Linked DNA regions of Nothobranchius furzeri. The protein of the gene in region 1 interacts with the protein of each later gene in a biochemical or structural test. Links are inferred from orthologs where the notes say so. Each region holds a gene or a part of one and is shown in the gene's direction. Other genes may lie near its edges.

What was found.
Region 2: the proteins of plg (region 1) and serpinf2b form a complex in vitro, tested with the Homo sapiens proteins (2 studies listed by BioGRID, with this or other methods). The link is inferred for Nothobranchius furzeri from reciprocal best matches to the Homo sapiens genes PLG and SERPINF2.

What each region holds. Positions count from the first base shown.
Region 1 is NC_091742.1:9,663,646-9,668,035, reverse strand, and holds the start of plg (plasminogen), read left to right. Parts: upstream 1-1,398; 5' UTR 1,399-1,542; intron 1,543-1,967; 5' UTR 1,968-2,005; coding exon 2,006-2,084; intron 2,085-2,404; coding exon 2,405-2,540; intron 2,541-2,617; coding exon 2,618-2,724; intron 2,725-2,971; coding exon 2,972-3,086; intron 3,087-3,161; coding exon 3,162-3,301; intron 3,302-4,390. UniProt on the Homo sapiens protein: Plasmin dissolves the fibrin of blood clots and acts as a proteolytic factor in a variety of other processes including embryonic development, tissue remodeling, tumor invasion, and inflammation. In ovulation, weakens the walls of the Graafian follicle.
Region 2 is NC_091753.1:47,654,125-47,658,410, forward strand, and holds the start of serpinf2b (serpin peptidase inhibitor, clade F (alpha-2 antiplasmin, pigment epithelium derived factor), member 2b), read left to right. Parts: upstream 1-1,251; 5' UTR 1,252-1,497; intron 1,498-1,600; exon of another isoform or gene 1,601-1,711; intron 1,712-1,854; 5' UTR 1,855-1,869; coding exon 1,870-1,923; intron 1,924-2,026; coding exon 2,027-2,092; intron 2,093-2,175; coding exon 2,176-2,452; intron 2,453-2,595; coding exon 2,596-2,739; intron 2,740-3,509; coding exon 3,510-3,698; intron 3,699-3,833; coding exon 3,834-3,976; intron 3,977-4,286.

The sequences.
Region 1 (4,390 bases):
GTGGTTCCGCCTGTCCAAGAGGCTCTTTCCCCGGCCCAGCTGGTCAGAGAGTCCTCGTCTTCGCTTGCAGAGGCCATGTCTGCCGCAGGGTCTACGTCTGCTGCAGAGTCTACATCTTCAGAGTCTACGCCATCAGATTCCAGGTCTGCAGTGTCCTTGCCAGCAGCGTCTCCAGAGTCCCCTCTTCAGCCTCCAGAGTCCCCTCTTCAGCCTCCAGTGTCCCCTCTTCAGCCTCCATTGTCCCCTCTTCAGCCTCCATTGTCCCCTCTTCAGCCTCCAGGATCCCCTCTTCAGCCTCCAGAGTCCCCTCTTCAGCCTCCCATTTCTCCGTCCCTTCCTCCAGAGTCTCCGTCCCTTCCTCCAGAGTCTACCTCCCCTCCAGAGTCTACGTCCCCCTGCCATCCTCCAGAGTCCCTCCATCGTCCTCCTCTAGAGTCCCTCCATCATCCTCCTCTAGAGTCCCTCCATCGTCCTCCTCCAGAGCCCCTCCATCGTCCTCCTCCGGAGTCCCTTCACAGTCCTTCTCCAAAGGCTTTGTTCCCTTGTCCTTCTCCAAGGTCTTCGTCCCCTCGTCCTCCTCCGGTGTCTTTGGCGTCCCATCTGTCCCCCAGAGCCAGATCCCGGCTCCTGGTTCCCCGTCGCCGGCCCCCCAGACTCTCCAGGTTTTTCGGCTCCAGTTCCCTCCGGGGTTTCTCTGGGTTTTTTGGTGGGATTTTATGTTTTCTGGCCCTCCTCGCCCGCCACCTTTGGTTGGTCTTGTGTTTTGCCCCCTGGGGTTTTTAAACCTGAATATAAGACTCTAGAAGAAATGGGCTGTGATGCCTGTGTCGCCAAAGGTTATGAAAGATTCTTTCACTGTCCTGTGAAGAAAAATACTCCTTGTCTTTTCAAGTAAATTTAATGTGAGTTTATGACTCTGCAACAACAACATTTCTCCACACAGAAAGGTAGCAGCTGGGATTCAAACCTGCAGCTTTTTGCTGTGAGGCAACAGTGCTACCATGTAGCTTTTACATTATATTTAGAGAAAACATTATTCATTGAAAGCTACTGAAAGGTTAAAAAGCCTTTTAATCCATTAAAACTTTTTTCATAACACCTTAAATCTTTTGTGAGTTTCATATTTCAGGGTTAAGTTCCCACAGTTTGTCTCATAAATGTGGCTCTTAGAAGGTTAAGACGTATTTAAACAGTTGACTCAGTGATCATATCTAAAGTTTGTTTCGTAATCACTTGTTTGCAAATGAGGACACTGATCTCCAGTATAGATAAGGAAGCTGTTCTAGCTAGATCACAAAGAACTCATCAATGAAACAAAGGTCCAATCTGTGATTTAATCATGTGGTTCGTTGTCTCTGATCCTGGCCTCCAGGTGCAGTCATAGAGAGTTTGAAAACCTCAGGATCTCAGGTGATATGGTTCTTCTTGGTGTCTTTAAGCCATGGTAAGCTGGGACGGTGAACAGATGAGTGGGGAGCAGCTGGGATGATAGTTGGTTCCTCCAAAAAAGGATAAAGGTGGAACGCTCCCTCAGAGTTGGAGGTGAGTCTTTGACAGCAAGACAATATAAAAAGTATTAAAAACGGATCAAAGTGACATTAAACAAGAATGATACATAACCAGAAATTGTATAAGTTTTTAGTAAAGGGAATTTTTTACAAGAGAGTTTTACTTCTTGGAAATGGGGGTAAACAAAGTTGAGCAAGATCGAGGTCCTCAAAGATGATGTGGAAGGTGGAAAACCCATTTATTTCGTCTCTCAGAAAATGGTTTTCATTGTTTTTGTTTTTTTGTTGTTAAATCACCATTACTGGTGCAAGAACTGAACATGATAATCAATGACATGAGTTCATTGTTTCATTGGACAGTTGCTTGTTCCAGAATCTTTCATAAAATGGATTTTGACCTGTTGTTGTTAGCTTTTCCTGTCAGGCCAATCATTGACTAGTAGCTGTCCTTTCTGTAAGTACCTAATAGAAGTAGAGGGACATCTGAGTTCCAGTCGATGATGAGCTGCTGGTGGACTGTCAACAGCATGGACCCGTTCAAGGCAACGTTTCTTCTGGGAGCCTTTCTTTGCTCTGGTAAGATGCAATAACACGTATAAAAGGTGCTTATAAACATATCTGTAATTATGCTTGCTGTAGAAAAAGACTGTCTAATCTGAAGAGATTCCAACCTAAAGATCACAAAATAACCTGGAATCTGACTTGAAAAAACTTGACATCTTTTGAATGTTCTAATGTTAATTTTGTAAATGACCACGTACTATTCTTGAATTCAGTTACAAGTTCTGTTCAACTGATTCAGAATTATTGTGGGTTGACCTGAATGGAAAGAAACGTTTGGTTCACAAATTGATGACCACACCTCACATGTTGATTAATATTCTATCTGTCACCAGTCGGGGGTACCGAGGTGGACGGCTACGCTAAAACTGAGGGGGCGTGGGTGCTTTCGCTGAACAAAAGACAGTATACAGTCAACACTGTGGCTGAGTGTGCCACCAAATGTGACACTGAAACATCTTTCCTCTGCAAGTAAGTTGATGCTTCTTTCTCCGATGTCTTCCATCTACACTGTTAATCAAAGCCTGACTTGGTATTTACTTCTGCAGGGCATTTACATATGTAGAGAAGGACCAGGAATGTTGGACAGCAGCATCAAACTCAAAAACGGAGCTTGTCCTACGCCGGCGAAGCTCAGCTTTATATGAAAAAAACAGCAAGTCCATTTTTATAAAGTTTTTCAACTCTTTTCCTCTAATTTGTAATGGTATTTTGTTGTTTTAGTGACACAGTAGTTAATGTTTAGCTCGTGGTGTACCAGCAGTGGTTTTTGGACTGGCTGCAAACAAAGCAGAGATGAATTACAAGTTAAACACATTTGTTTTGGTTTTCAGAATAAAAGCCTTGTGTTTGATCAGTCAGGTGAGTTTGTATAATCACTGCTTCTTTTTTGTCTTTTCTAGAATATCTTTTGGAGTGTGTGAATGGAACAGGAACAGATTACAGAGGAACAAAGAGCAGAACAAAATCAGGAACGCTGTGTCAGAGATGGGCTTCAAGATTCCCACACAAGCCCAAGTAGGTATCACTTCACATTTGATTCCTAAATTATTTTCATCAATTTTGTAACTTTTGTAAACATTTCCGTCGCAGCTACACACCAGACAAAAATCCACTTGCAGATTTGGACTCCAACTTCTGCAGAAACCCTGACGGGGACATAAATGGACCCTGGTGTTATACCACTGACCCAAATACTCGCTGGGAGTCCTGCAACATACCCAGCTGTACTGGTGAGATTCATGTATCTATAACAGTTGATACTGAGTTGATTCCAAACTTCTGAAGACAACCATCTTCATCAAGATTCGACAGCTGTTGTTTGAAAGTTTTGTGGAAGGCCAACCAATGAAAGCATTGATTAAACTACAAGTGTACGGTGACCAAAACAAAAGCAGTAAAACTGGTACAGTGAACTACAAAAACACTGAAACTAGAAAGCTAACAGAAGTTCAATAGGTGATTGAGCAGAAAACTAGAAGTGGCTGGTGACCAGTGGTGGTGAGGGATTGTGGCATTACAAAAGGAAAGGTAACACAGAATTTCTAGTTACAAGAAAACAATACTAAGTTTGCATAATGTGCCACACAAGGTAAAATGTAAGATGAAAACTAAAGCAGTTAAACTAGTACAAGGAACTACAAAAAGTAAAAATAAACTAGGGGGAAAAAACTGAGATAATGTAAACCACAACAGTAAAACTAGTAAAGGGAACCACACATCTGCCTGTGAGCTACAACTAAAAAACTCTGTTGTGAAAGCTGGGAAGGAATGAGGGAGAAAACACATGAGCGCAGACTCAGACACAACATTAGTCCACAAGTAGAAGGTGGGAGGAGCTGGGATCCCCCTCGCAGCTGAGAGAGCATACAGCATCTAGTGTGCGTACTACTGCTTACGGGTGTGAAGGAGAGGAATGGAGAGTGCAATGAGTCCTTGAAGATTCCATGGTCACGCCCAGATCACCAGTTGACCAACCAGATACGTCACAATTCCAAACCAGGATTGAAGGAGGAAAGGTTTCAAAGCATCTGTCAGCATTCACGCTGTGGGAGATTTCCTCAGTCTCTGCTGGTCTCAAGCTCCTCCAAACACCCCAATAATGAGGTATAATTCCCTTCATACCATGCAGTAACTTCCTCGATGATGGCATCCATCTTGTGTGCCAACACAGGAATCGCATCTGGCTTGCAATTCATCTTGAACTACGACAGAGCAAATTTTGTATAGCTTTTCTTTTTGTTTTAAAATTGGAGTGCTACAGCGATTACCCTTTTGCCCTTGCCTTTTCTTAATTGCTGAATCATGACTTTTGACCTGAG
Region 2 (4,286 bases), on another chromosome or scaffold:
GGTAGTTGCTTAATGAAACCAAAAACACATCAAGCTCGCCTTCCATTGTCCCTTCATAATGATGAGTAAATGTTAATCAAGTGCACTGAGGAAACTATGCAGTATTTGTACACCAAACCATTTCTGTAATCGTTACTCCATGTCTACAGCGAGATGTTTGATTGTGCTCAACGATAAACTTGTTGTGATGGTAGTTCGCCTAGAGCTGCCACGCCAAACAAAGAGTACAAATGCACAACCTTTAATCAACTGCACAAAGAAAAGTCTGAATTGTAACGCTCAGATTTAAAATACTGAATATTTGTTTCTCTCCCCCACCCCCCCAAATAAATGACTTGAAACCTTCATCAGGACCATCTTTAGGTCAACTCATCATTTAATCTTGTTTGTTTCACAGCAGCTTTTAGTTTACCTCCAAAAACTGAACAGTCGATGCCAAGTGAAACAACGTTTGTATTTTAACATTTATGTGTAACCACGTAGGAATATTAGGAAAACTATGTCTATAGAGGAAATATATATGCTTCTTTGTGTAATGTAAATAAAATAAACAGCAGAAGTTTTGTTTCTTAAATCAATTCCAGTTTTTAAACCTTAACATCTAACTTTGGAAGCTCAGCTTTTTTGTATGGCGTTTTTCAAAGTTGGGCTTTTTTCTAATAATTAGCCTAAAGTTCAAATAAATGTGATAAAAGAATGTTTAGAATTTTTATTTTCTCATTTTTGGTGAACTTGAAGTCCAAATTGGAGCATAAAATGGCAAACACTTGAAGAGAAATGGGCAAAGACTTTAAATTATTAACATGTTTAATAAAAGTTGCTTCCGTCTTTTCTGTGTGTTGTTTCATGTGATACGCTGTGACTCCATTTAGCCTCCTAATGTTGGCTTAATCACTTGGGTTCAGATTGTACAAAGTCCCCTTTGTGTTTGCAGATTGCAGTCATGTGATATTTCCAAGATACAAGTTTATCTTTGTGTTGAGAAAGTAATCTAATTAGTGGACTTTTAAATATTTCTTTTAAGCGTTGATCAATTGGTTTTAGTTGCAAATTCAACTTGAGATCATCTTGGGACACAATATTTAACTATTTGCCTTTTTGTCCAGCCGACATGTCCTAATTCCGGTTTTCTGAGAAGCGTGGGAGTTTGTTTCTCAATCTCGAGTCACCAAGTTGCTTTTGTTTGTGGTTGGATTAATCAAACTCTTGTAAGCAAGTTATCATTGTTCCTGTCAGAGATTAAGTTTTTCTAATGATGTTCCCATCTCACTGACATACTACGTGTGTCAAAATAGCCTATTTAACTCTGGAGGAGTCTGAGTAGCTGCATTTACAAACACATAGTGGTCAAAATGAGGCGTCGATCAATGCAAGTTGATATTTAACTGTTTGCTGAGCAAATGCCAATCTTTTACTCTCAGGAATTCAGCCATTCACAGTACAGTAGGTTCTCCTTTTTTGGACACGGCAGCAAGATTTTTGTAGTTCAAATAAAAGGTAAGTCTGTATATTTTTGAATAAATTCTCTGGAAATGTTTGGAATTTTGTTAAGAATTGAAATAATGAGCTTTTTTTCGTGGTTGTGTGAAGTCTGTTTAACAGGTTATGGTTCTATAACAAGCTTTAATGCACTTTTGACGTAATTACGTTATTCTAGTCAGAATTCCTGCTTTGGAAAGTGGGTTTTGGAAGATCAGCTGGCAAAATTGAAGTAAATTATCCGTTCCCCTCCTGAACACCAACAGGAGGCGAATACTTTTGCTTTTGTGAAAGTAAAATTTTCTATAAAATGTACCAAAGTGAGAAGATGTCTTGCTTAGAATAATTATCATTATGCCTAATTTTGTCTTCTAGTGACGTATAAAGGACATGGACCTCTGCCTGACACTCCTGTTGATTTGTCTCTGCAGCCAAGGAGCCACTGTAAAACAATGAGTTACCTTTACGTAATAAGGCTAAATCACTGGAGTATTTGCTGAATGTAAAGTACTTTAATGGTGTTTTATTACAATCTTGTGATCAACAGAAAGCTGAGGTGACAGAAGATCAGTCAACCCCTCTCGTCCCTTTGATTCCCAGTCAACCCATAGAAGTAGGGGTCAAAATGACACTATTTTCTTTTTCCTCTTATAGTATTTGGGTTTTGGATTTAGATTGTTCTAATCCTTGCTGCAGGAAGGAGAAAGTTCTACGTCAGAACCTTTAGCTTCCACAGATGTAGCAACCAAAGAACTGGCAGCCATACTTACCTCGAACAAAACGTCGCTAGACGTAAACGAAACCGGTGATTGTCAGTCTGCCAGCCAGAGCCCCAAATCCCAACAGGCCATCGCCGCTGCTGTTCAGAACCTGGGTGTTCAGCTGCTACAAAACCTGGAGACCACACCAGAACACCCAAACATCATCATATCTCCTTTAAGCATATCTCTAGCCCTCTCTCAACTGGCTTTAGGTATGCACTCACTACAGAGGCCTTCATTTACACAATATTCATTTGATTTTATTAACAATTTATCATTCTTTGCATTTTTAAAACTGATATTGCCATTTTCCTCATGAAATGATTCCTGCTGCTTTATTTTTGTCTTTTCAAAGGTGCAAAAAATGAGACTGAAGAGCTGCTGATGCATCACCTCCACGAGAACGCTGTTCCTTGTTACCATCGGTCTCTGCGTGATGTTTTAGCACAGCTTAAAAAGAGAGACCTGCAAATTGCCACCCGCATATTTCTGCGTCAAGGTTACTTCCTAAGAAATGTTTTGCCTAATTTCATTGATTTATAACTGCACTGATAAATTGGAGGAGTTTAAGTGTTTCGGGTCTTGTTCACGAGTGAGGGAAAGAGCGCACTAGATCGATAAGCGGATTGGTGCTGCGTCTGCAGTGACGTTGTACCGGTCTGCCGTGGTGAAGAGAGAGCTGAGTCGGAAGGCGACGCTCTTGATTTACTGGTTGCTCTACGTTCCTACCCTCACTTATGGTCACGGGCTTGGGTAGTGACTGAAAGAACAAGATCACAGATACAAGCAGCCGAAATTAGCTTTCTCCGCAGGGTGTCTGGGTTCTCCCTTAGAGATAGGGTGAGAAGCTTGGTCATCTGGGAGAGGCTCGGAGTAGACCCACTGCTTCTCCACATCAAGAGAAGCCAGTTGAGGTGGCTCGGGCATCTAGTTAGGATGCCTCCTGGGCACCTTCCTGGTGAGGTTTTCCAGGCACGTCCAACCAGGAGGAGACCTAAAAAAGACCCAGGACACGCTGGAGGGACTATGTCTCTCAGTTGGCCAGGGAATGCCTTGGGATTGCCCTGGAGGAGCTGGCCCAAGTGGCTGGGGAAAGGGAAGTCTGGGCCTCTCTGCTTAGGCTGCTTCCCCGCGACTGACCCGGGATAAGTGGATGAAAATGGATGGATGGATGGATGGATGGATGCTTTTCTTCATGAGAATCTAGACTTGACCCTCAACGCTGTACGCGGTACGCTGTGTGTACCTTTGTGTACCTTTGTGTTTCAGGGTTTGAAGCAAAGCACAAATTTGTGAGTGAATCTCAGCTATTTTACGGCTCAGAACCAGCAGTCTTGGAGAGCCTTCAGCAGATTAATGAATGGGTAGAGAACGCAACAAATGGAAGGATGACGGACTTCCTGTTTACTTTACCACCCAATCTGCTCCTCATGCTCATCAATGCTGTCCACTTTAAAGGTGACTGAAAGGAATCTTACAGAGTCATTCTAGGAATATCCACATAAAAAAACTATTTCCTTGAGTTCAGATAAACAGTCATTGTTGTGACTTTATGTAACTGAAATGAGAAGATTTTTCTTTGTTTCTTTGCAGGAGAATGGAAAGCTCGATTCGACCCAAACTTTACCTCCAGAGGTGTGTTTTACCTGGATGACTTGCACATGGTGGATGTTGATGTGATGGAAGATGCCAAACATCAGCTAAGCTGTTTTGCTGATAATGAACTTGAAGCCCAGGTATTAGAAATAATAGTGTTCTGGTAAAATATTCCTTCTTGCAAATTCAGGAAATTAGATTTATTAAATTTATTGATATTAGAGGTTTGTTTGCTATAATTTCCGAAAGAACACCCCAAATCAGTCAAATTTTTTTAAATAGCCATTTATTTAGATTTGTGTTTATTTTGTAATTTTAGCCCCATATTGTTTTATTTATTTATTTATTTATTTACTTGCCAGCATTTATTAAAGATGTGGAACACTGGAAAAAATCATTTTTAATCTTATTTCCGATTTTAGTTGGTCACTCTGAGTTTTTCGTGCAGGC